Linked DNA regions of Pelodiscus sinensis. The protein of the gene in region 1 interacts with the protein of each later gene in a pairwise test. Links are inferred from orthologs where the notes say so. Each region holds a gene or a part of one and is shown in the gene's direction. Other genes may lie near its edges. The genes, in order: CKM, ASB9 and TRIM63.

What was found.
Region 2: the proteins of CKM (region 1) and ASB9 interact in binary tests that used the Homo sapiens proteins (3 or more experiments, as listed by UniProt). The two-hybrid records come from large-scale screens. The link is inferred for Pelodiscus sinensis from reciprocal best matches to the Homo sapiens genes CKM and ASB9.
Region 3: the proteins of CKM (region 1) and TRIM63 interact in a two-hybrid assay, tested with the Homo sapiens proteins (2 studies listed by BioGRID). The link is inferred for Pelodiscus sinensis from reciprocal best matches to the Homo sapiens genes CKM and TRIM63.

What each region holds. Positions count from the first base shown.
Region 1 is NW_027465849.1:7,057,651-7,065,128, reverse strand, and holds the start of CKM (creatine kinase M-type), read left to right. Parts: upstream 1-4,464; 5' UTR 4,465-4,507; coding exon 4,508-4,624; intron 4,625-5,824; coding exon 5,825-6,038; intron 6,039-6,618; coding exon 6,619-6,773; intron 6,774-7,478. UniProt on the Homo sapiens protein: Reversibly catalyzes the transfer of phosphate between ATP and various phosphogens (e.g. creatine phosphate).
Region 2 is NC_134711.1:211,962,186-211,969,973, forward strand, and holds the start of ASB9 (ankyrin repeat and SOCS box protein 9), read left to right. Parts: upstream 1-4,694; 5' UTR 4,695-4,999; coding exon 5,000-5,093; intron 5,094-7,788. UniProt on the Homo sapiens protein: Substrate-recognition component of a cullin-5-RING E3 ubiquitin-protein ligase complex (ECS complex, also named CRL5 complex), which mediates the ubiquitination and subsequent proteasomal degradation of target proteins.
Region 3 is NC_134735.1:1,664,509-1,671,724, reverse strand, and holds the start of TRIM63 (E3 ubiquitin-protein ligase TRIM63), read left to right. Parts: upstream 1-4,173; 5' UTR 4,174-4,333; coding exon 4,334-4,492; intron 4,493-6,371; coding exon 6,372-6,538; intron 6,539-7,216. UniProt on the Homo sapiens protein: E3 ubiquitin ligase. Mediates the ubiquitination and subsequent proteasomal degradation of CKM, GMEB1 and HIBADH.

The sequences.
Region 1 (7,478 bases):
GGGCAGGGCGCTCACTGGGGGACATCACCTGCTCCTGCAGCCCTGGCATCACCCAGCAGGGGGCTGTGTGAGTGCGGGGAGGGGCCAAGGGTGGGGGATGGGTGTGTGAGTGTGGGGCGGGGCCAAGGGTGGGGGATGGGCTGTGTGAGTGTGGGGAGGGGCCAAGGGTGGGGGATGGGCTGTGTGAGTGCGGGGAGGGGCCAAGGGCGGGGGAGGGGCTGTGTGAGTGCGGGGAGGGGCCAAGGGCGGGGGAGGGGCTGTGTGAGTGCGGGGAGGGGCTAAGGGCGGGGGAGGGGCTGTGTGAGTGCGGGGAGGGGCTGTGTGAGTGCGGGGAGGGGCTAAGGGCGGGGGAGGGGCTGTGTGAGCCATGTCGCAGAGGTGGGGGGGCAGCCGGGGGCTGGGCTGCACCAGGGCAGGGGTGGTCCCCTAAGCTGGCGGCATCCCCCTGGGGTCTCCCTGCCGCGGGCTGGCATGTCGCACCCCCCGCTGGGGGGTCTCCGCCCAGCCCTGCCCCGCCCCCCAGGGCGCTATAAATAGCCGCCCCGGCGCCCGGCTCCAGTTCCCATGAGCCAGCGGATCCGACAGAGGTGACACCGCGGGACGCTTCCTCTACCCAGCAGGAGGGCCCGGCCCCCCCCAGCCCAGCGCCCCCCTGAGCCTCCCCCCCGCCACCCAGCGCCCCCTGCTGGGCCCTGCCCCACCCCTCCCCCCGCAGCCCAGCGCCACCCTGAGCCCCCGCCACCCGCAACCCAATGCCCCCTGCTGGGCCCTGCCCCCCCCCCCCGCAGCCCAGCGCCACCCTGAGCCTCCCCCCCCCCGCCACCCGCAACCCAATGCCCCCTGCTGGGCCCTGCCCCCCCCCCCGCAGCCCAGCGCCCCCCTGAGCCTCCCCCCCCCCGCCACCCGCAACCCAATGCCCCCTGCTGGTCCCTGCCGCACCTCCTCCCACAACCCAGCGCCCCCTCTGCTGGGTCCTGCCCCCCCCCGCAGCCCAGCGCCCCCCTGAGCCTCCTCCCCCCCGCCACCCGCAACCCAATGCCCCCTGCTGGTCCCTGCCGCACCTCCTCCCACAACCCAGCGCCCCCTCTGCTGGGTCCTGCCCCCCCCCGCAGCCCAGCGCCCCCCTGAGTCTCCCCCCCCCTAGCCCCCCCCCCCGAGCTGCCCCGTCCCCCGCCCCCTGCTGGGCCCTGCCCCACCCCTGCTGCAGCCCAGCACCTCCTTCAGCCTCCCTGTCTCCCGCCCCCCCATATCTCAGCCCTGCCCCCCCAGCCGCCCCGTCCCCTGCCTCCCGCAACCCAGCGCCCCCTGCTGGGCCCTGCCCCGCCCCCCCCAGCCCAGCCCCCCCCCAGAGCCTTCCCGTCCCCCACCCCCCACAGCCCAGCGCCCATTGCTGGGCCCTGCCCAGTCGAGATGTGCTCAGGGGAGGAGGGGATGCTGCCACCCGCCGGGGAGTGGGGGCGACCCAGGTCCGGTCGACAGAAGGGGTCTGAGCGGGGGCCTTGCTGCCGCCCGGCGCGGGGACGCTCGGGGGGCTCCTCAGCCGCCCCTGCTGGACTGATCCCCGGCTGGGCCCTTCTGCTCTGGCCCGTTCACCCAGCGGCATCAGCAGAGCCCGAAGGACCCCCCCCCCCCCCGGCCTTTCTCCGCTCCAGCCCGCGGGCGATTGGCTCCGGGTCTCCCCCGCCCGGCTGAGGGCACCGCAGTGCCCAGCACGGGACAGGGCCCCCCTCCGTCCTGTGGGAACCGCCTACATCTGCCCGAGGCCGGGGCTGGTGTCTGGGCCCCCCCCCAAGGGCATCCTCTCCCCAGCCTCCGACAGGGCCCCGGGACCTGGCTGCAGCCGCATGAGTCCCAGGCTCTCAGCAGACTCCGGCAGCCCCCACGGCCTTGGATCCAGGCTGCCCCCTAAGGGCGCCTGGCGGGGTGGGCGGGAGCCGGATCTCCAGGGCTTTGCCAGGAACCCGCAGCACCAATTTCAGGGGAGGTGCCCCCTGACCCCAGCAATGGTGGGGGGAGGAGGTGGCAATTGCCTGCCCTTGGGCCGCCCAACCCCAGGGAGGGATCCACTCGAGCCTGGCGCCCGTTTCTCCGGGGGCGTCTCCGCGGTGGCCGTGCTCGGGCGCCGGCCCCTTCACTGGCCTCTGGAACAGCTGTCAGGGGCTCCCAGGTTCGGGACTACGGCCCCCGCTTTGGAGCAGCCTCTGGAAGGAACCCCAGGGGTCCCACGCCTCCTCCAGGGCCGGCCGTGCGGCCTCCCCACCTCCGAGCCTGAACCGCTTCCCTCCTGCCGCCCCCCGTGAGCGGTGTCTGGGGGGGCAGACTGGGAGAGGCGCGGCCCCCGGAGGGCGCCTGGCAGGCGGGTGAATTGGCCCTGGTGCCCAGCCTGGGATGGCCCCAGGTTTGTGCCGAGCCTCGGGGGGTTAAAGCGGCCCAGGCCCAGCCAAGCTGGAGGGACCCCAAATCCAGGCTCTGTGTGTCCGTCTGGCCATCCAGAGCCAGCTCTTCCCCCGCCCAGCCCCCTTTGGCTGGCGAGTGTGGGGGGCTCTGCACACTCCCTGCCGGGTGTGTCCATGAAGGGGTCACTGGGGCTGACCTTGGCTTGCTGGGTCCTAGGTCTCTTCAGCCCCCCTCTCTGGGAAGTGACACCCCTTCCCACCTGTGTTTCTTAGGGGGGTCCAGAAAGCAAACCTCACCCTCCCCACGGGGTAGCCATGCAACATAAAGGGGGAAACTGAGGCACGCATCAGCCACCTAAAATAATGCAAAACATTCTCACGTCGGCCCAGTATCCTGCAGCAGGGCGTTCCCCAGGTTGGTGGCCGCTTGGCTCTCTTGAGCGCCTTTGACTTTAACTGACGCCGCCCCAACGAGACAGGGGGCATCCCCACCCCCATGCAGTCCCGGGCTGCAGCACATGAACGTGGCTTGGAGGTCTAGGCTGGGCCCAGGCCCTCGCCGAGTGGGAGCGGCGGGAGGAAGGGACGTGCTGCCGGAACAAATCCCCCCCCACACCCACCCAAAGCCGCTCCCCCCTCCCCGGACCGGGCCCTGGGCACTAGCTGGGTTCCCCGTTGCTGTCCCGGCAGCCCCCCTCGGGGCAGCAGGGGGTGTCCAGCCATGGGCCATGCCTCAGGTCCGAGGGGAGGGGACAGGCGCGCCCCGGCCCTGCCCCCCCACTCGCCCAGCCTTGGGGCACGCTCCCATAAATCAGCGCAGGGACAGCTGCTGCATGCACGCCCGGCTCCTCTCCCCGTTAGGAAGGCGTCGGGGGCCGGGAAACCCGAGCCAGGCCGTTTTGGGCGCGGGGTGGCGTGCGGGCAGCTGCCAGGCGGTGCTGGGCCCGGGCCAGCTGCAGAGCAAGCGGAGGGTTGGCATTGCTGCCTATATAAAGAGCTAGGCTGCCTGGGCGGCCATGGGCGGGGACCATGTGCTGACAAGCCCAGCTCAGCTGCCCAGGCCCCGGCTCCAAGCTGGCTGCACGGCCGGGGGAGGGGGCAGGTTGGAGGTGCAGGAAGAAAGGATGGGGGGAGTCACGTGGGTCCCCAGGGTCTGGTCCCCGTGGCCTTGGAATGGATGGGAAGGTGGTGCAGCCTGGGGCCTGCCTCGCCAGGGTCATGGGGCCAGCCTGGGACCCAGGGAGCGTTCCATGGGGGGTCCCCCGCCGAGTCCCGACCCAGCCCAGCCAGGGAGAGCAGGGAAAACCTGTGGAACTCCCTGCCGGGGGATGTTGTGAAGGGCCCCAGTGTAACTGGGTTCAGAACAGAATGAGCCCAGGATGGGCAGGGATGTAACCCCTTGTTCTGGGTCGCCCTCAACCAGGACCTTGCACGCCAGCTCAGAGCGGGCCCGGGAATGGTTCTGGCCCTAGTGAAGATGGGCCCAGCTGGTCATGGCCCAGGGGAGCGGTGGGATGGACCCAGGAGGTGGATGCCTGGGGAGGGGTGGGATGGACCCAGCCAGCCATGACCCGGGGGTGGGGAGATGGACCCAGCTGGTTAAGGCCCATGGGGTGGGACGGACACAGCCGGTCGTGGCCTGGAGGGATGGGACAGACCCAGAAGGTTGTGGCCTGGGGGGGTGGGATGGACCCAGATGGTCGTGGGCAGGGGGGTGGGTCGGGCTCAGATGGTCGTGGCCCGGGGGGGTGGGACGGACCCAGCCGGTCGTGGCCTGGGGGGAGATGGTCGTGGGCAGGGGGGTGGATCGGGCTCAGATGGTCGTGGCCCAGGGGGGTGGGACGGACCCAGCCGGTCGTGGCCCGGGGGGGTGGGACGGACCCGGCCTGTCGTGATCCCCCCCAGGGACGGACCCCGGCGGGTCACGCAGCGGCAGGTGGAATTTCTCCCCGTGCTGTTTGTCTGTTTTGCTGGTCACCGGGATACAGCCGGGCCCAGATCCTGCGCCCGCCGGGCCCCCAGCCAGGCCAGCTGGAGGACAGCCCCAAATTTTGTGCTGGGCTGGTGGCAGCCGTGTCCAATCGGGGCCGGCCGGCGGCCCGGGCCAGCCAATGGGAGCCGTGCGCAGGGTATATATATGGGCAGCTCCCCTGCTGGGGTCCCGGGTCACTTGTCACGTCCGAGTAGAGGAGGCAGTGCCGTGCCGTCCCCGCTGTTCTGCTGATCCGGTAACCCCGGCACGGGGAGCCCGGGGGGGGGAACGGGGCAGGGGCTGCGCCTGACCTTGGGCTGGGGGCAGCGGGGAGCCCCGCGGGGCCAGGGCAGGGCGGAGTGGGGGAGGGCCCTGTGGGTGCAGCCTGCATGGGGCGCCCAAGGGCAATGCCCCATCAGCTTCCTGGCGGGTTGGGGGGGCATGGGGCCCCCATGAAGGTCGGGAGGCCGCAGAGCAGGAGGCTGGTGATTGGGGCGGGCCCCGGGATGATGCTGGGTCCTCGCTGGCCCGTTGCACCCTGGCGGCCTCTCTGGGTCCCTGGGGGAAGACGGGGGGTGCCCAGGGTGGGGCCCCTGCGGCCGGGGAGCCCCCGAAGCCTTGAGCAGAGCCCAGCGCCCCCCGAGAGGGCCCCCGTGGCTGCAGGCGGCTGGCTCCTCGCAAACGCAGCCCCGGGAATGTGGGCTCAGCTGGCAGCTGCCGCTGCTCCCGCCAGGTGCCTGCCCCCCGGGACAAGGGCAGGGGCTTAAAATAGCCCTCCTAGAGCAGCTGAAAACCGGCCCAACTTTCCACCCGCAGCAACTAGATACCTCCCCCCACCCCCCGGCACCTGCCCTGCCCCGCTGCCCCATGGGCACCCCCCACCAGCAGCTGCCCCCCAGTCTGGCCCAGCAGAGTCATCCCCTCGCACGGGGTTCTGCCCAAACCTTTCACTGCCCCCCACTCACCTGGGGAGAGCGCCCCCTGCTGGCCCAAGGGCCTGGTGGGGTCCGACCTCCCGGTTCCTGCCCTGAGCTCCCCGCAGGGAGTCCCCCACCCCGCAGCCAGCAGGGAACCTGGCATAGAGCAGCGCCCCTCAGCCCACGGCTCCTGGCAGAGGCTGGGCCCACCTGCCCACCAGGGGTCTCTGAAACAACCATGCCCCCTGCTCCTCACACGCCGGGGAAACTGAGGCACGCCCGGTGTTCTGACCAACGGTTACGAACAACCCCCCCTTGTCACATGGGCTCACCCCGCCTCCCCTGGAGACTTTAGGCGGTCCCGTGGCTGGCGCAGCCCACGTGGGATGCCTGGGACGCCCCTCTCGGTTTGGGGGCTGCGCTGTCGTGGGGCTCGGGCGGGTGCGAGGAGCCCCCCGGGCGTGGCGGAGCAGGGGAGGGGGCGGCCTGGTCCCAGCTGGCGCCTGCCCCCCGGCCTCAGCGAGCCCCGTGCCCCGCAGGACTCGCCCCTGCCCGCAGCCATGCCGTTCGGGAACACCCACAACAAGTACAAGCTGAACTTCTCGGCGGAGGAGGAGTTCCCCGACCTGAGCAAGCACAACAACCACATGGCCAAGGCCCTGACCCTGGACATCTACAAGAAGCTGCGTGACAAGGAGACGCCCAGCGGCTTCACCCTGGACGACGTCATCCAGACCGGGGTGGACAACCCAGGTGGGCGCTGGACGGACCCCCCCCCCCGCTCCCCCACCCAGCGTCCCCCCCCCCCCGGGAACCCCACCCCCTTGGGTCTCGTGCTGCTTTGGAACTCGGCTTGGGGCCCCCTCCTGCCACCTGAGCCCTGGGGGCCTCCCCAACCTGCCCACCGTGGCCCAGCCAGAATGGGGGGCCCTGGGCCAGGAGCTGCCTGTCACTGCGGGGCTGGGGCCTTGCGGACACCTGCCCTTTTGTCCTTGGCCCCCAGGGTAGGGGCGCTATGGGGAGCCCCCCCCCGGCGCATCCAGCATCCTGGGAACCCCTCCCCCCAGTCACTGATAGCTGGGCTCCAGCCTGTGGCCAAGGGAGAATTGCCCCCCCACCCCGTGTCCCTGGGACCCCCCACAACCGCTGGCAAAGGGGCAAGAGGCCTGGCAGGGCGAGGGGGCCTGGGGAAGCCGGGCTGAACCCTTCCTGCCACCCCCCACTGGTGGGGAACGGGCCCCACGGGAGCCTGGCTGCCCCCTCCCAAGGAGCAGCAAGGGGGGGCCCCGGGGCCCCTCGCCAGCTGCCCAGGCTGACACCCGGCTGCCCGCAGGACACCCCTTCATCATGACGGTGGGCTGCGTGGCCGGGGACGAGGAGACCTACGAGGTCTTCAAGGACCTGCTGGACCCCGTCATCCAGGACCGGCACGGCGGCTACAAGCCCACCGACTCCCACAAGACCGACCTCAACCACGAGAACCTGAAGGTGCGGGCGGGGGGGGCGGGGGGCAGGGAGGAGAGGAGTGGGAGGGGGGACTGGAGCAGGGGAGAGGGGCTGAGGGGCTTGGGGGGCTGTGGTGGGAGGGGAGCTGGAGGGGACTGGGGGGCTGTGGTGGGAGGGGGGCTGGAGGGGATTGGGGGGCTGTGGTGGGAGGGGAGCTGGAGGGGACTGGGGGGCTGTGGTGGGAGGGGAGCTGGAGGGGATTGGGGGGCTGTGGTGGGAGGGGAGCTGGAGGGGACTGGGGGGCTGTGGTGGGAGGAGGGCCTGCAGTGGGGACTGGGGGGCTGTGGTGGGAGGGGAGCTGGAGGGGACTGGGGGGCTGTGGTGGGAGGGGGGCCTGCAGTGGGGACTGGGGGGTTGTGGTGGGAGGGGGGCTGGAGGGGACTGGGGGGCTGTGGTGGGAGGGGAGCTGGAGGGGATTGGGGGGCTGTGGTGGGAGGGGAGCTGGAGGGGATTGGGGGGCTGTGGTAGGAGGGGGGCTGGAGGGGATTGGGGGGCTGTGATGGGAGCTGGAGGGGACTGGGGGGCTGTGGTGGGAGGGGGGCCTGCAGTGGGGACTGGGGGGCTGTGGTGGGAGGGGAGCTGGAGGGGTTTGGGGGGCTGTGGCGGGAGGGGGGCTGGAGAGGATTGGGGGGCTGTGGTGGGAGGGGGGCTGGAGAGGATTGGGGGGCTGTGGTGGGAGGGGAGTTG
Region 2 (7,788 bases), on another chromosome or scaffold:
TTCTGTGAAAAGTTGTTACTCCACAGGCCGTGTTTCAGGCCTGGCAGCCGTGGAGCGTATTGGACCCGAACTCTCCTTGCCCCGCCTTGCTTCCCCAGCGCTGCTTTCACTCCGGGGATCCTCCTGCTCCTCTAGCAACTAGGCCCTCCCTGCTCTCCTCCCAGAGCAGCAGTTTGACTTCCTTCTCCCTCCAGGCATCCTTCCTTTTATAGGCCCCAGCTGGGCCCTAATTAATGAGGCCTGCCTCAGCTGGGGCCTTACTCTCAACCCTTGCTCCGGGCTGGGGTTTGACCTTAAAGGGCCAGTGCAGGGCAAGCGCCCTGTCACATGGGGCAACAGCCCTCCCCCAACAGAGTGACACAGACACTGAGAGCAGCTCAGCTCTGAAGAGGGCTCAGTTACAGGGATTTGACAGCATCCAGGAGCACAGCATCAAATAGGACCCAAACCAGTGTTTCCTCTAAGCTGCAGGGCAGCACAACTTCACAAGTGATTAATCACACCTGCTGATTGACTGACTGGGCAGGGCTGATTGATCACCTATGATGCTATGCGCCCATGCTAACCTAAAATCAACAAAACATGCCAGTTAAATCTACTATACTAAGAGAAATTGTTACAAATCATAATTTCTCACCCCAGTCCTTATTTCATGTAAAATGTTTCAGGTCAGAGCTGATCTTTTTTCTCACCTAAACCCAGCTGCTTCTTTCTCCTCCCATTCTCATTCAGGTCTCTTCTTGTGATGGGGAGCAGCCTGTGAAGCCAGCTGAAGACAATCATACTTTGCTTCCCATCCCTCAAATAGAATTGTCCCAGGGCAGGAACTCTTTATTCATGTCTCCCCTGACTGGGAAAGTACAAAATTGAAGATGGATTCCAGCACTAGGTGACATGGTCAGATGTCTTTGTAGGACCAACCACAATCCAGGCTTCTAGGAAAAACAAAACTATTCATTGCCTTGAGCACAAGGCCATTAAGTTCCTTAAGCACCAAAAAGCTAGGAGTACAGGATCTGTCGAAAAATCACCCCGCTGTTGGCAGAACTGTGGTTAAACCATGGTTTCAGTTTTGAAATGGTGCTTGATTGAAACAGCGCCAAGACAGAATTATGCAAATGAAGCATGGGATATTTAAATCCCCACTTAATTTGCACTTTCAAAGTGTTTTATTTGCATCCCTCTGCCAACAGAGGGGTTCAGTGTAGCCACAGCCTAGAAGACCTCGTTTAATAAACAAATGTACAGTCCATTTTTCTAACTTCATAATCGAGAAAGATACAGGCACACAAATAAAATATACACATTCAGGGGATTACTTGAATATTCTCATATGTATATTCATAGTCATGTTCATGTTTATATTCATGTTCAAAACCATATTTCCTTAAAAATATGGGGGTAGAGTGTCACATGGCAGATAGAGACAGTGTGGGTATGTCTACCCAGTTACATTATAGATATATCCTTTGTGTGAATGCTACTGTATTGCCTAACCCTTGATTTATATTAGTCTTATGTTACCTCTTGGAGGGGAAAAAAACCCCCAGTTAGTTCTGCAGTTGTGGTTTCTTTTCCTTCAGCTGGTCTCAGCTCTGTATTATTCATCAAATATAACTACCACGGATTGCCCCTAGTCCCCAATACTGCTTTAATACTGCCCAGATGATAGGCACACACTTTACTGTGGTGACCTTTGGTAATCCACTCTCCAATTTGCTGCTCACTCATAGCTGTTGGAGTGAGAGGATGTCAAGAGTGAAGAAAAAGGAAACAGGCAGTGTACCAGCAAAGAAACGTTTTTGTTTGCCTTTAGTTGTATAATCTTAATTAATCTAAATTGTTTGTTTAATTTTTCTATCCACGGTCCCTCAACTTCCAAACTCAGGCTACAGTATTTAATGCTGTAAAACTAAACCTCTTATGTTTGTACATAATTTTCTGTATCAGCTTTGCTAATGTACTTGATAGAGAAAATTGCTGTGAAGTGAGACTTATGCAAACAAAGCCATCTTTTAGAGGGGAATGCATGCAGTTTGCAAACATCGGGTACTGAAAAGAGATAATGCTGAGACACCATGCAGGCTGAGGATGTGGGATAGAAAACACTCACAGGATATGATTAGAATCTGTGTTAGGGGATCCAGGGACCCAGCAGCAGCAAGAAACAAGAAAACTTTTAGGGCTCTGTGATATTTTTGAACTACTGAAGTGAGTAAGGGCTGCAAAACTGCATTCCTGCTTCTTGGTATATGTTAAGATATTCAGTACAAACCACATAAAAAGAACATAATTTGTGCTTGTATCTGTGTTTGTACAGTGTCTAGCAATATGGAGTCCCATCCTTTGATGGCATTAAGGAATGGTGACCATATTTTCTCAATCAAAATTAAGGACACATTAGCTGTGCCCCCTGACTCACATTAGCAATGCCCTCTGATCCCTATTAGCCATGCCTCGACTTCCAATAGCAATACCCCCTATTCTCCATTAGCCACGCCTGCCTGCCATAAGTCCCACACCTGGAGGTAGTACTCCTGGGTCAAGATGGACACATGACCTGCAGTAAAGGGTGTTGTGTGACCCCTCTAAGAACTCCACCCACCATCCTCTACCAATAGGGAGGGGTTTGGACCTCATAGGACCCCTTCCATGCAACTATGCTGCAATTGCATTAACCCAACTTGCATTGCATTAACTCGGTGGAAGAGGCTGGGGATGCCTCTATTTCAGGGGTTCTCAAACTTTTTGGCCTATGAACCACCTGGCTTAATGTAAACCTTTCCGTGGATCGTCGGTTGCTAATGGAAACTTACCGTTATTTACATAATTATACCCACCGGCAAAGCTCCAATGGAGCCACCTATGTGCTCTGCTGGTGGGGAGGAGGCCGCTGTTGTGCTGTGCCGTGCCGTGCCGTGCAAGGAGCAATGGCAGTGCACAGAGCCATTTCTCAGTTGTTTCTTCCCTGCAAGCTGGTGTCCCCATCAAGTAATGAAATATCCGGCAGAGATTTCCGGGACATTTCACTACTTGATGGGGTACTGAGACAGAATATTTCAATTCGGGACTATCCCGGAAAATTTGGGACAAATGGTCGGTGTACATTTGTGTACTAGCAACAAATATGATTAATAATTAGTTAATTGTTAGACATTGCCCTTTAGCAACGTGGAGGAGTGAGGATTCTTTGCTTGTTTGAAAATGGCATCGTCTGTCTTTGGTAGAATGATGTCTTTGGGTAGGCCACAGATTATTCAAAATTAACCAATGGCTTGAGCCAAAGGTCTTCGGTTCCCCCAAAGCGCTGCCTGACAGAATGGTTGTGCTGGGAAATAGCATCACTCCCTGTGCACTGCAGAGATATCAGTGCTGCCCTATGTATGAGGCACCAGAACGAGGGAGAGAAGCAGGCTTCATGGGAAAGGCAGCTGTGTGATTCTAGTCAGGCCCATATGTGGGAGGGGGGGAGGTGCGAACGGTGCGAAAGCACTCCCCCATGGTCCCCCAAGTAAGTGTGCTCCAGCTGGACAGCAGAATGCAGGAGCAGTGCGCTGCCCTAGCCTCACTCCCCCATGCTGTGGACAGCCAGGGGAAAGCTGGGGCTAGTGATTAGTACTTCATGCAGGGGCAGTTGTTTTTCCAGTGCATGGGCTAGAGTAGTGGCCATGTTACACCACCTTCCTCAGCTTTGGAACCGTCTTGCTTCTTAACCCCTCACCTACAGTCCAAAATAGCCCTGACCTTAGGGCATGTTGTAAGAGCAAATTCTTTACTCAGGCTTTGGGGGATGGAAGGAGATGATAAAGGCTTGTGTTTGTGGGAATTCATCTTTGTTTATATTCTGATTTGGTGGTGAAGAGCAGGTGCCAGGTGGATGATAGGGCTTGTCTTCACTGCCATGCTACACAGAATCCTAGGCTGGAAGCCTTTTGGAAAATCTCACCCTGTTTACTTGTCTGTAGGTTAATTATTTTTGTTTCTAGTGAAAAAGCAGATCCAGCCCTCTGCCACCCACCCACAGGGCTGGAGCACACAAAATCTACTAGCCTGGTCCCCTTTTGGCTCTGGTGTGTGAGAGGGATGTGAGGAGTGTCTTTTTCCTTCTCAGTCAGGGGCTTCTCACTTTGCCTCTCACTTGCGTGTGGCCCCGGACTGATATTTCTGTGGTTCAGCAGCCCCTGACCCCCCCCAAAAAGGTTCCCCACCTCTGATATATAGTGGTGGTGCAACTATGATGACTCAGTGAAGTTGATTGAAATGGATGTAGGGAAATAAGGCCACATAATACTATGCTTTTCATGCCTTAGAGACAATGAAGCACTTCCATGGGAAAGCACAGCTTTGGGAACATGTGGTTTCAATATTATCATGGCATGTAGTGACTGCTGCTGTGTAAAAGGAATTCAGTATTCCATTCTTTGCATGCAGTCATGAGCTTTTCAGATAATGTCAGTGTTTGAAAACTGGAGGCACACTAGATACAGGAAAAAGGTGTTGTCTCAAAACAACCTAATTTGATCCTTCTCTTGAAAGCAAAGCATTGAGCACAGTTATCTTCCTGAGATACTTTTACAAATCCCTAAAAGCAGAATTTGCTCAACTAGTTGAGCTGGCTCTCTCTTGGTTTGTTGGCAAAAACTGAGAAGTTCCTTCCTGATAAAAACAGAAGGCAGACTTGCTGATTGGACGTGGCTTTTGAAAGGATATGACATCAGCCACATCCCTCACTTTGTACAGTGTAGCCTGTCTGATCTCTGTACACCAAGTGAATGAGGAGGCGTTTCATTAAATCGGCAGTGCACACAGGTACTCAAGTTATTTGAAACTGCTGCCGGCACCAAGTTCCAGTCTGCTGAGAAGTCGGCTTGTCTCACACACACGGTGTTTGCTTAATAGATTACTTGCATAACTAAGATTTTCATCAGGGAGGATGGAATTTGAACTCTCAGGAGCAACTGTGAAGTGAAATAACAGAAATTTGACTGCCCAGTGTGCAATGGATGGTGCTGGAGCAAAGGAAAATGCCAGTATATCCCAGGGAGTGGAAGGACAGTCACTTGCAACTTCTCCGTCAAATGCACTGATGAGCGGTAAGTAATACAACTGTATCTATCCAAACGGTCTTCCCGAGAGCCTTCTGGTGGTCATGGAAGGGCTATGGATGATATCTATTCAGAGCTCTGGAGGCATATTCTCCCTGAAGGCTTGTTTACATGCAGTTCTTAGGTAGACATCGGGGTACATGGCAGTAAAACCAAAATTTATTTTTAAACACTTCACAGATATTAGGAATCTGTGTAAAGAAAAATAAGCATTACAATCTGACCTGGACATAACTGCAAAAGAAATTGCACTGTGGGCATGTTTGGTTTGCATTATTGCCAGCTGAATGCTCACTGCTTGCTCAGCGGAACAAGTTCCTCTTTTGTTTCGAAAGATACGCTACAAAAATCTTTGCTGGTGACATTGCCACATTTGTGGCTTAGTCCCAGCAGGCCAGGGTGCGAACCCCTTTCTGTCACCGAGGAGCAGTTCTGCATCCAATTTGCCCCCTTTTTGCTCACCCCTTTGAGTAAGAATCTCAGTTTGCTCCCAAGCATGTGAACAATCTGATGCAGTGTCACAAGACAATCTCTTTTCACATACAGCTTGGTTAGTGGTGTTTCACTTCAGTCCATGTCCTTGGGGAGTCTAAGCTTTCAGTTTATGGCCAGTGTGCTGGGGGAGGAAAAATGAAGACAACATGCTGTAACATTGCAATATTCTTCTTTTCTTCATGAGAACTCTGGAGATTTTTCCTTTGTTACATAAAGAAAAAAGACTGGTGCAGTTAGGATATGAGAACTACAAGGCCAGCTGCAGCGCAGAAGTGACCTTGGTGTCTTGCTCTCTAGGTTGATTTGGGTTTTGGGTTTTTTTTTGTGAGGGAGGAGGGCAGAACAGTGATAACAATCCAGAATGAGTCTGGATTTGAAGTGGATTCTTACTAAATGGCCGACAGGTTTCCAGCATTTGGAAGGAAGGAGGAAAGGCTGTGTTTGTACAGAGCCTGCACAATGAGAACCAGGTACATGACTAGGCTCACAGGCACTATGGTAACATAAAAAAGCCTATTGTGAGGCAAAGATTGGTGCCACTAATTTAAGGATTCAAAATAATATGTGGACAGGATTTTTTTCAATGAACTTAAGAAATTAGACACCCAACTCACCCTGAAAGTCAGTGGGAGTTTGACTCCTAACTTTTAGGTCCCTTTGAATATCTCAGCTTTAGACTACTACAGAAGATTTCAGTTCCTATTTATAATATCTATGGACTAAAGGCAGAGGCACCAACTTTCTGATTTGCCTGAGAGTGTTCAAGCCCCAGACCTGCCTTCTGCTGACCAGCAGGGCACACCGTGGATAGGAGGTGCTGGGGGCCAGGGCAGGAGCAGGGGCTGGGGGTGGGGCCAGTAGTCAGTAAGTGCTTAGCACCTACTATTTTATTTTGGTCAGTGCCTATGGTTAAAGTTCTTGGGTAGATTTCAAAATGTTACAAGCACACTAGGCAGTTCTGGTGAGGGAATTTTTAAAAATATGTTTGCTTCTCCGAATTCGCTACTGGCGTAAGCAGGCTCACCTCCCTTGCAGTTACTATTCATGTGCAGAATGGAGTTTAAATATTGATTGAAGCCAACATCTGGAATTAAAAAAACTCAGTGGTTGGTTAGCATTGGCTATCGGCTGTGTTTATCTCAATAATTAGGGTCTATGTTGCAAATCCACAAAATATTAATAATTTACTGCACAGCTGCTACTACATCTACAGTACTGAGTAGAAAACAGGGCAAGTAGAACATAACCTAGTCCTACATTTTCCCTATCAGTACACCTGAACATGTACCGCAAAGAAGCAGAGGCAGCTATCCACATTACTGTAACAACTTGATTGTTTCCTTATTCTTTAGATGATCCCATTTTTCAGTCTGTAAAACTACCCCACATTGTTCATGGATGAATGTGATTTAATAAACAATATTCTACTCAAATTGCTTTTAAAGCAAAATCCATATACTGGTAGTTATGAATAGCACAATAGCCTTCACCAAACAATATAATATGGCGTGGGCTCACTGTTGCTCTATCCCTCTGGGGATAGATCTTTAGGGACACAGTATGTTGCTGTAGTTTCAGTGCAGCCGATGGAACTTTGCCACCTTGCTTGCGAAAAGAAGTGAAATGCTACAAAACTAACATTTTTTTAAAATCTAATTTTCTAAAGAAATACCACAAAATAGGTTACACAAAAAGACTTACTTCATGAAGGTCTGTACTCCATGCACTGACTACTACCAGTAAGGATGCATTTAAGGCAGGCCATGCCTCCCACTTGGCCCTTTGACTCCTCTACATTTTACAGATCTGAGTAATCTTTTTTGAAATTTTATTTTATTTTTCAAAGAGAGGGGTGAGTTTTTCTGCCCCTTTGAATTAGTGATCATTGTCTGCTTCCCAGTCTTTCTTTCTTTCCTCTACAGTGCTGGTTTCATTGTGCCTTCTTCTGAGACACCATAGAAGATAAAAGAAATGTTGGGCTCTATGAAATCACTGGCCTACTAGTTTGTCCATCTGTGATGATAACCCTTCTTATAAAGGCTTCATTCCACCTTCAGAAGTTAGTCCAGACCTGTCTGTCAACATGCTGTAGCAGGTACCAGTAAAGGTATTTCATTCTGGCCTAAACCTGCTCTGAACTCTTCACTTGGGATAACAATCAAGGTGCCATTAGAATTGCTCCATCTTT
Region 3 (7,216 bases), on another chromosome or scaffold:
AAAGCCGTGGCCCTGTATTCCAAAGCCGTGGCCCTGTATTCCAAAGCTGTGGCCCTGTATTCCAAAGCCGTGGCCCTGTGTGCTGAAGCCGTGACCCTGTATTCCAAAGCTGTGACCCTGTATTCCAAAGCCGTGGCCCTGCGTGCTGAAGCCGTGGCCCTGTATTCCAAAGCCGTGGCCCTGCATGCTGAAGCCGTGGCCCGCAGCCACAGGGATTTATTCTTGCAGCTCCGTGCAGGGCCCTGCAGCAGGAGCTAACGACTGGCTGGGTTCCCGGCAGTGCCGGCCAGCACACGGCTCGCCATGACAGCCAGCAGGGCCACTGCACCAGCGAGAGGCGTCCCGGTGCTGACTGTGCCCTGGCGTGGCTGGGCTGCTAGCCCTGCGGCTCCAGGCCAGTGTTTCTCCAGCAGGCTCCCTGGGGGGCCGTGAGCAGGTTCCAGGGGGGCTTCCACAGCTGGCCACCGTCCCGCGGAGCAGACACGCGCGTCGGGTCCCATTCCAGCAGCGCTGGGCCACGTGGGGAGTGCGCGAGGAGGCAGGTACCTGGGCAGTGAGCCAGCAGGAGCAGGCGGTTTTCTACCTGCCCGTGGCTATTCCTGGCCCACGAGCCGCCAGTCCCAATTCCAGCTGGTCTGTTTTGACCGTGGGGCCCCTGCCCCGGGGACGTTTGGATTCCTGGGGCTGGGGGCCCCCGGCAGCTGGCCTGGCTTGTTCTCCCGGCGGGGGGAGCAGACCGGATGGTTTTCACTCCCGAGCGGGAGTGAATCACCTGCCGCGCACGAGCCCTTCTGCTAAGGAGCTGGGGACAGGCCCAGCCGCCCGCCTGCCCTTGTCAGGGGTTCCTGGGAGTCCCTGAGCGGCACGGGCAGAGCTGCCGCTATTTACCCAGAGGGCGCGGACGGCGGCGCTACCCAGGCACCTTGCGGATGCCGGGACGAGAGAGCGGCTGACACCCTGTACGCACACCCCCGGGTGTCGAAAATAGGACCCTAGGCCTGCCGAGGGGAGTGACGGCGCGTCGGGGTCCCCCCTGAGCCTGCACCCCCGCAGCAGCAAGAACAGACTCTGCAGCCAGTAGAACAGGGGGGTTTCTTGCTTCTCCGGGGTACAGCCCAGCACAGACGGGATGTGGCTACAGGAGTCAGGGCCAGGCTGCCTCAGCCCCCTCGGGTTAGGGGGTCCATCGCCCCCCAACCCTCTGCACCCAGCTTAGTCTGTTCCCTTCCCAGGAACTGCCTCCCTCCCAGCCCTGCCCCCCAGCCCGGTGACTGTCTCCGCCTCCCTCCCGTTGTCTCTCCCCCTGGGAAGAGCCCTGTTACCTGCCCAGGCTGGGACTAGGTGTCTGGGCCAATCCACGTGTGGGTGAGTCCGTGGGAATCGCACAGCGCAAGGGGACCCCGGGTTGCAGAGCAGACACCCCCCCACTACGTCACAAGGTTGCGTCTGTTCTGTACACCGAGAGAACCTGACTGAGGACTGCGTGAGCATGCTCGTAGGGGTGGCCGTTGATCCGGGGGTACCGCACTGGGGAGCCGGGAGAGCTCGGAGGAGCTGTACGGCTGCCGTTAATAGGGGTTCCCATCAGGTTCCTTCGAATGGTTCCCATGCGCGTGCGGGATGGACTCTGTTAGGTGTGTCAATGTGGAGGTGATGTGTGAGCGTCTCCTGCTCCGAGGAGTCCCGGGGCACCGGAAAGGTTCTGGGCCCCAAGCGTGGGATGGACCCGTCGGTCTGGCAGGGCTACCTGCGCCTGCCCGGAGGGGAGCGATCCGTTACTTTGCGGAGGGCCCGTGCTAACGAGGCCCGGTCCCCCAGCTGATGAGAAGGCGGGGACGCCGAAGCAGCCCCTCCCGGTCCGACGGGGAGAGTTCGCGAGCGACTCCCACGCGGCGCTTTCGCGCTGGGGTCTGGCTGGGGGGTCGTTTTGCTGATGTCTGGCTTCTTCCAACGCTGTTACTGAGCATCCAGGGAGCCCGAAGCCTCCTGCAGTTTGCATGTGACCCAGCCTGGTGCCTGGCTTGTGCCCGTTCCGGCTGCTGCGTGGAGAATGGCGGGTGTGGCCGGCATGCCAGGTGGGGAAGGCAGCCTGGCCCCGCCCACACTCCGCAGGCCTACCTGCTGCGGGGGCCACATGCTGCCTGAGGGGGGAGGCAATTTGGCTCCCGTGGGGGCGGGGCCTGGGCAGAAGGGGCGGGGCTAGGGGCAGGCTGGGGACTTTCCTCGGCCCGCCCTACGCTCACCCACTGCCCATGCCGAGGGGCATTGCTGGCCCGCGGGGCGGACGGCCTGCTCGTGGCTGTGCAGGCGGCCGAGCCCCCGATGGCCTGGCTGCTTGGCTGGGCCTGGGACGGGGTCACCGCCATAGCGGGGCACATAACAAAATCCATGTGTCGGGGGTGGGGCCGAGTGGTTTGGAGGGCGGCAGGGCTCTGGCTGGGGCCGGGGTGAAGGGTGTGGGGGTCAGGCTGCCCTAGGGCGGCAGCTGCAGGGAGAGAGTGGACTCCCCCAGGCCTCTTTCCCTGCAGCAGCCCCTGGGCGTGGGGGAGAGGCCCTCCCTGAGCACGCGCCTGGCCCGGCAGCTCCTGTGCTGCACAACGGGGATGAGCCCTGGGCGGGGACGTGTCGCATTGACCGCAGGGGGAAGGGCCGGCCAGGTTCACGGGCACGAGGAGGGTTAAACCCTGGGGGGTGGTGGAGGGTCCCTCACTGGACACGCGCCTGCCCGGGATGCTCAGACGGTGCCTGGCCCTGCCGAGAGGCTCGAGGTCCCTTCCCATCCTACGACTCTGGGGTTCGATGATTTTAACACAATGGAGGATCCCCGAGTCCCAGGCCTGGGAGGTGCCCTCGGGCGGCTCCCCACCCCTGGCACTGGGGGTGTCTGGTGCTACCTGCAGGACCCATGGCCGGGCTGGGGGCTGTGACGGTCTGAGGAGCAGCCAGCAGAGTCTGGGGGAGTTGTGGGGCTTGGGTGGAAATCTGTGATGCCCAGCAGGGACCTCGGGCCGAGGCTGAACAGGGCGGGTGCTGGAGCAACCAATCCCAGCTGCATGGACAATACGGTGGGGGCTAATTTAGCTCCAACCACTCGAGAGATCTTGGAGTCCCAGTGGGTCGTTCTCTGAAAACATCCCCGCAGTGCAGCAGCCGTCACAAAGGCAAACGGGACGTTAGGAGTCATTAGCAAAGGGACAGAGCGTAAGACAGAGAATATCTCGTTGCCTCTATAAAACCATGGTGCACCCACAGCTTGAATACCGTGTACAGACGCGGTCGCCTCATCTCAAAAAAGATCTCTTGGCATTGGAAAGGGGTCAGGAAAGGGCAGCAAAAGTGATCAGGGGTTTGGAACGGGTCCCATCTGAAGAGAGATTAAAAAGTCGGGGACTTTTCTGCTTACAAAAGAGGAGACTAAGGGGGGATAGGACAGAGGTCTATAAAATCATGACGGGTGTGGAAAAAGTGAATAAGGAAAAGTTATTGACTTTTTCCCACAATATAAGAACTAGGGGTCACCACATGAAATTAGCAGGCAGCAGGTTTAAAACAAACAAAAGGAAGGTTTTCGTCACTCAGTGCACAGTCAACCCGTGGAACTCCTCGCCAGAGGATGTGGTGAAGACTAGGACTTTAACAGGGTTCAGAAAAGAGCTAGCTAGATTCCTGGAAGTTAGGTCCATCAATGGCTGTTCGCCAGGCTGGGCAGGGATGGTGTCGCCAGCCTCTGTTTGTCTGGACATGGGTGACGGGAGGGATCACATGAGGATTCCCTGTTGTGTTCCCTCCCTCTGGGGGATCTGGCACTGGCCGCTGTGGGCAGACAGGCCACTGGGCTGGATGGGCCTTTGCTCTGACCCCGCCTGGCCGCTCTGATGTTCTTAAGGGGGTCACTTAACCCTTTGCGATAGGGACGCGGAGGCCGGGTGGGGGTCACAAGGGGGATGACTCTGTTTACAGCTGCGTCTCCAGTGTCTTTGTTTGGAAAGACACTGCAAAATCCCAGGAACTGTGGCTGGGCCAGCCCCGGACAGGCCGTCCCCTGCCCTGTTTACAGCCCGCTCCCCCCAGGGGCACCGATTGCTCATTCTCCCATGTGACAGGCAGGCCGCTGGAAACTCGAGCCCCTCTCCAGCACATGTGACTCTGCCCTAAATTATAAATAGGCAGGGAGAGGGGCAAAGGCAGGAGCCCAGGCTGAGCCGCAGGGAAGGAGCCAGAAGCTTGAGCTCAGAACTTGGTGCAGCTGAAGAAGGCAGGCGGAGCCGGGAGAGTTCCCTGAGGAGCTGTCGACACCGGCGTTGGGATATACCTGGGGAGGCCGCCCAGCGCCATGGATTACCAGCCCAGCATCATCCGAGACCCCAGCCCCATGGAGAACCTGGAGAAGCAGCTGATCTGCCCCATCTGCCTGGAGATGTTCAACAAGCCCGTGGTCATCCTGCCCTGCCAGCACAACCTGTGTCGGAAGTGCGCCAGCGACGTCTTCCAGGTGAGTGCCTGGCCCGTGGCTGGGCCACTTCCTGTGCCTGGCTGCAGGCGGGGGGGAGGCTGCCGTGAGCTCCCGGGGACCGAACCGGAGGCTGCTCGCGGGGTGGCTGAGGGCTGGAAGGGCCAGGCTTCCCTGGGCGCTCCCCTGTCAGGAGCCGGGCAGGGCGGGGTAGACTCCGGGCTTGTGTAACCCAGAGGCCACTGACAAGGAAAGTTCGCTCCAGGCCGCAGCTGGGAGCTGGTGGGTTTTCAGATCATGCCATAGAGTGTTGTGGCTTTAGCCCCGAAGGTCGCAGGTTCAATCCCGCCTGTCGGCTTTCCAAGATTCTGGCTCCAAGTGCTCTAGCTTGTGCCCTTCCAGGCTGTGCTTGTCTGTCAGAGCGGAGGGGGCAGCGTCTCGCTCTGCGTTTATCTAGGACGCTGGTGAAAAAATCCCCGTGACTTCAACGGCCTGGGAATGAGCCGGCTTGGCACCTGGTTCTAGAAAGGACCCATCCCCCTGGTCTCCTCTCTTGGCTGAGCCGGGCTAGGAGCCAGCTGATAAACCCGATGGCTGGGCCCCCTCTCGCTGAGCTGTGCTGCTCACGTCCAGCGTTCCCAGCAATAGAGGAAGGAGGAGAAGACCAGGCAGGAAGGGAGCGATGGGACCCGCTGCAGGGCCGGCTGCAGGCTGTGCCGGCGGGGGTGTAATTGACCGTGGGTTCCTGGCACTTCCCCCATGTGCAGACCCCCTTGACTCCTGGCAATGGGCAGAATGTCGAGGTCCCTGCAGCTCAGATTCCTCCCTGGGAATTTTGCCAAAAAGTCGGCTTCTCCATCCCCCCGCCCCGTGTGCTTGGCCACTTCTCATAGGATCACGGAGCCCTGGGGCGGGCGGAGCCCTCAGGAGGCACCGAGTCCAGCCCCCTGCCCAAAGCAGGACCCATCCCAATGAAATCTCCCCATCGCCAAGAATGGAGACGCCAGCCCCTCCCTAGGGAACCCAGCCCAGCGTCCCCCACCCGCCTGGGGAAGTCGCTTTTCCTAATCTCCCCCCTAGACCCCCCCGGCAGTGCAGGGTCAATGCTGCAGGCGCCCGCTGGGCAAGAGGGAAATTCTAACTGGGCGACGTTTCTTGGCTGCCCCAGAAGTGGTGGAGCGGTGGGGCCGTGGGCCCTGGGCCAGGCCCTGGAGGTCTGGTCCCTTCCGAGCCCGTTGTACACTCCCGGAGCCCGCGCGCTCGGAGGCGTTTCTAACCCGTGAACGACGGACGCCTCTCAGCACCCCCATGCCCTGTGCCCAGCTCAGGAGCAGGAGGGGGTGGCTGCGGCAGGGGGCTGCGACTCAGGACTCCTGGCTCCATTCCCAGATCTGCCCCTTGGCCACATTGCCTCAGGGGTTTTGCTTTGCCTCGGGCGCCCAGCTGTGCCCGGGAGACATTTGCCTCCTTCCTGGGGTTTTGTGAGCCGTAATTCCTCGCTCACCGGGTGCAAAGCATTATGGGATCTGCGCCCCGCGGGCGATGGGCGGGGCTGGGATGCAGGCTCTGTCCCTGGGGGATGCCGAGGGGCGGGGTTCACACGAGTCCACGTGACTGTCTCGACTGCGCAGTGGTGAGCGTTAGGCGTGGGCGGCGGGTACTGTAGGCAAGGGAAGGCGTCGCCGTCTGCCGCCACCCCACAGCTGCTGGGGAAAGGTGGGGCCATGGCGCAGCAGCCCCAGCCCTCCAGGTGGCCAGGAAGGATGGAGCTGGGGGTGGGCGGGGCTCGGCTCCACAGGGGTGTGGGGAAGGGGCGGGGCTGGGACTTGCCTTCCCCAGCTGGGCCTCCACCCGTCCATAGTTTTGGGCCTGTGGCAGGTGACTGGGGTGACCTTTGCCCTTGTGCTGCCGGCACTCACAGGCGGCGAATCCGTACTGGCAGAGCCGGGGAACCACCCTCTCTGGGGGGCGCTTCCGGTGCCCCTCCTGCCGCCACGAGGTGATCCTGGACCGGCACGGCGTCTACGGGCTGCAGCGGAACCTGCTGGTGGAGAACATCATCGACATCTACAAGCAGGAGTGCTCCAGGTGAGCCCCGCGCCCGCCCGCGCCAGCAGCCCCGCCAGTTCCCGGGTGCGGACAACAGGCAGGCAGGGGAATAGGAGGCAGGGAGTGTTCACACAGCAGCAGGTGCAGATCTGGATTCCGAGGTCTGAAAGGAGTTAACCGATGAATTTCCTGAATCGCTGGCATGGAGGCAGAGACAGGTGCTCTATGGGGCAAATATGGTACCAGGCTTTGAAAGGGGGGGGCCGGGGAGGTCTGCAGAATCAGCAAATACCATCTCCCAAGTGGAGTTCCGAAGGCGCGATAAGAGCAGCAGCTGGTCTACACGGTTCCACTCTCACGTGCCTAGAATCAGTAACATGTCCCATCCCCCTCCCCAGCCTGTTGCAAACGGGGAACTGACCCTGGGCTCATGGGTTAATGGTCACAGTTACCTGCAGTCTCCCGGTGCATGGAGAGCTGGGTTAAAAGCCAGCTCCGGGGTGCACCGGCTCCCAGGGAGTCCACTTTTGCCCCACCTGTAACCATGTGACCACTGACATATTTTATTGGTTGCACGGTTCCTTCGTTCCACACATTTTAACTTCCCGACTGATAAAAACAAACTGTGCCCAGAGCAGCACGGCCGCGGCTTTGAGAGTCATGTTGCAGGGAGGAGGGAGCGAACACAGTAGCTGTTCCCAAGGTTCCCTCTAATCT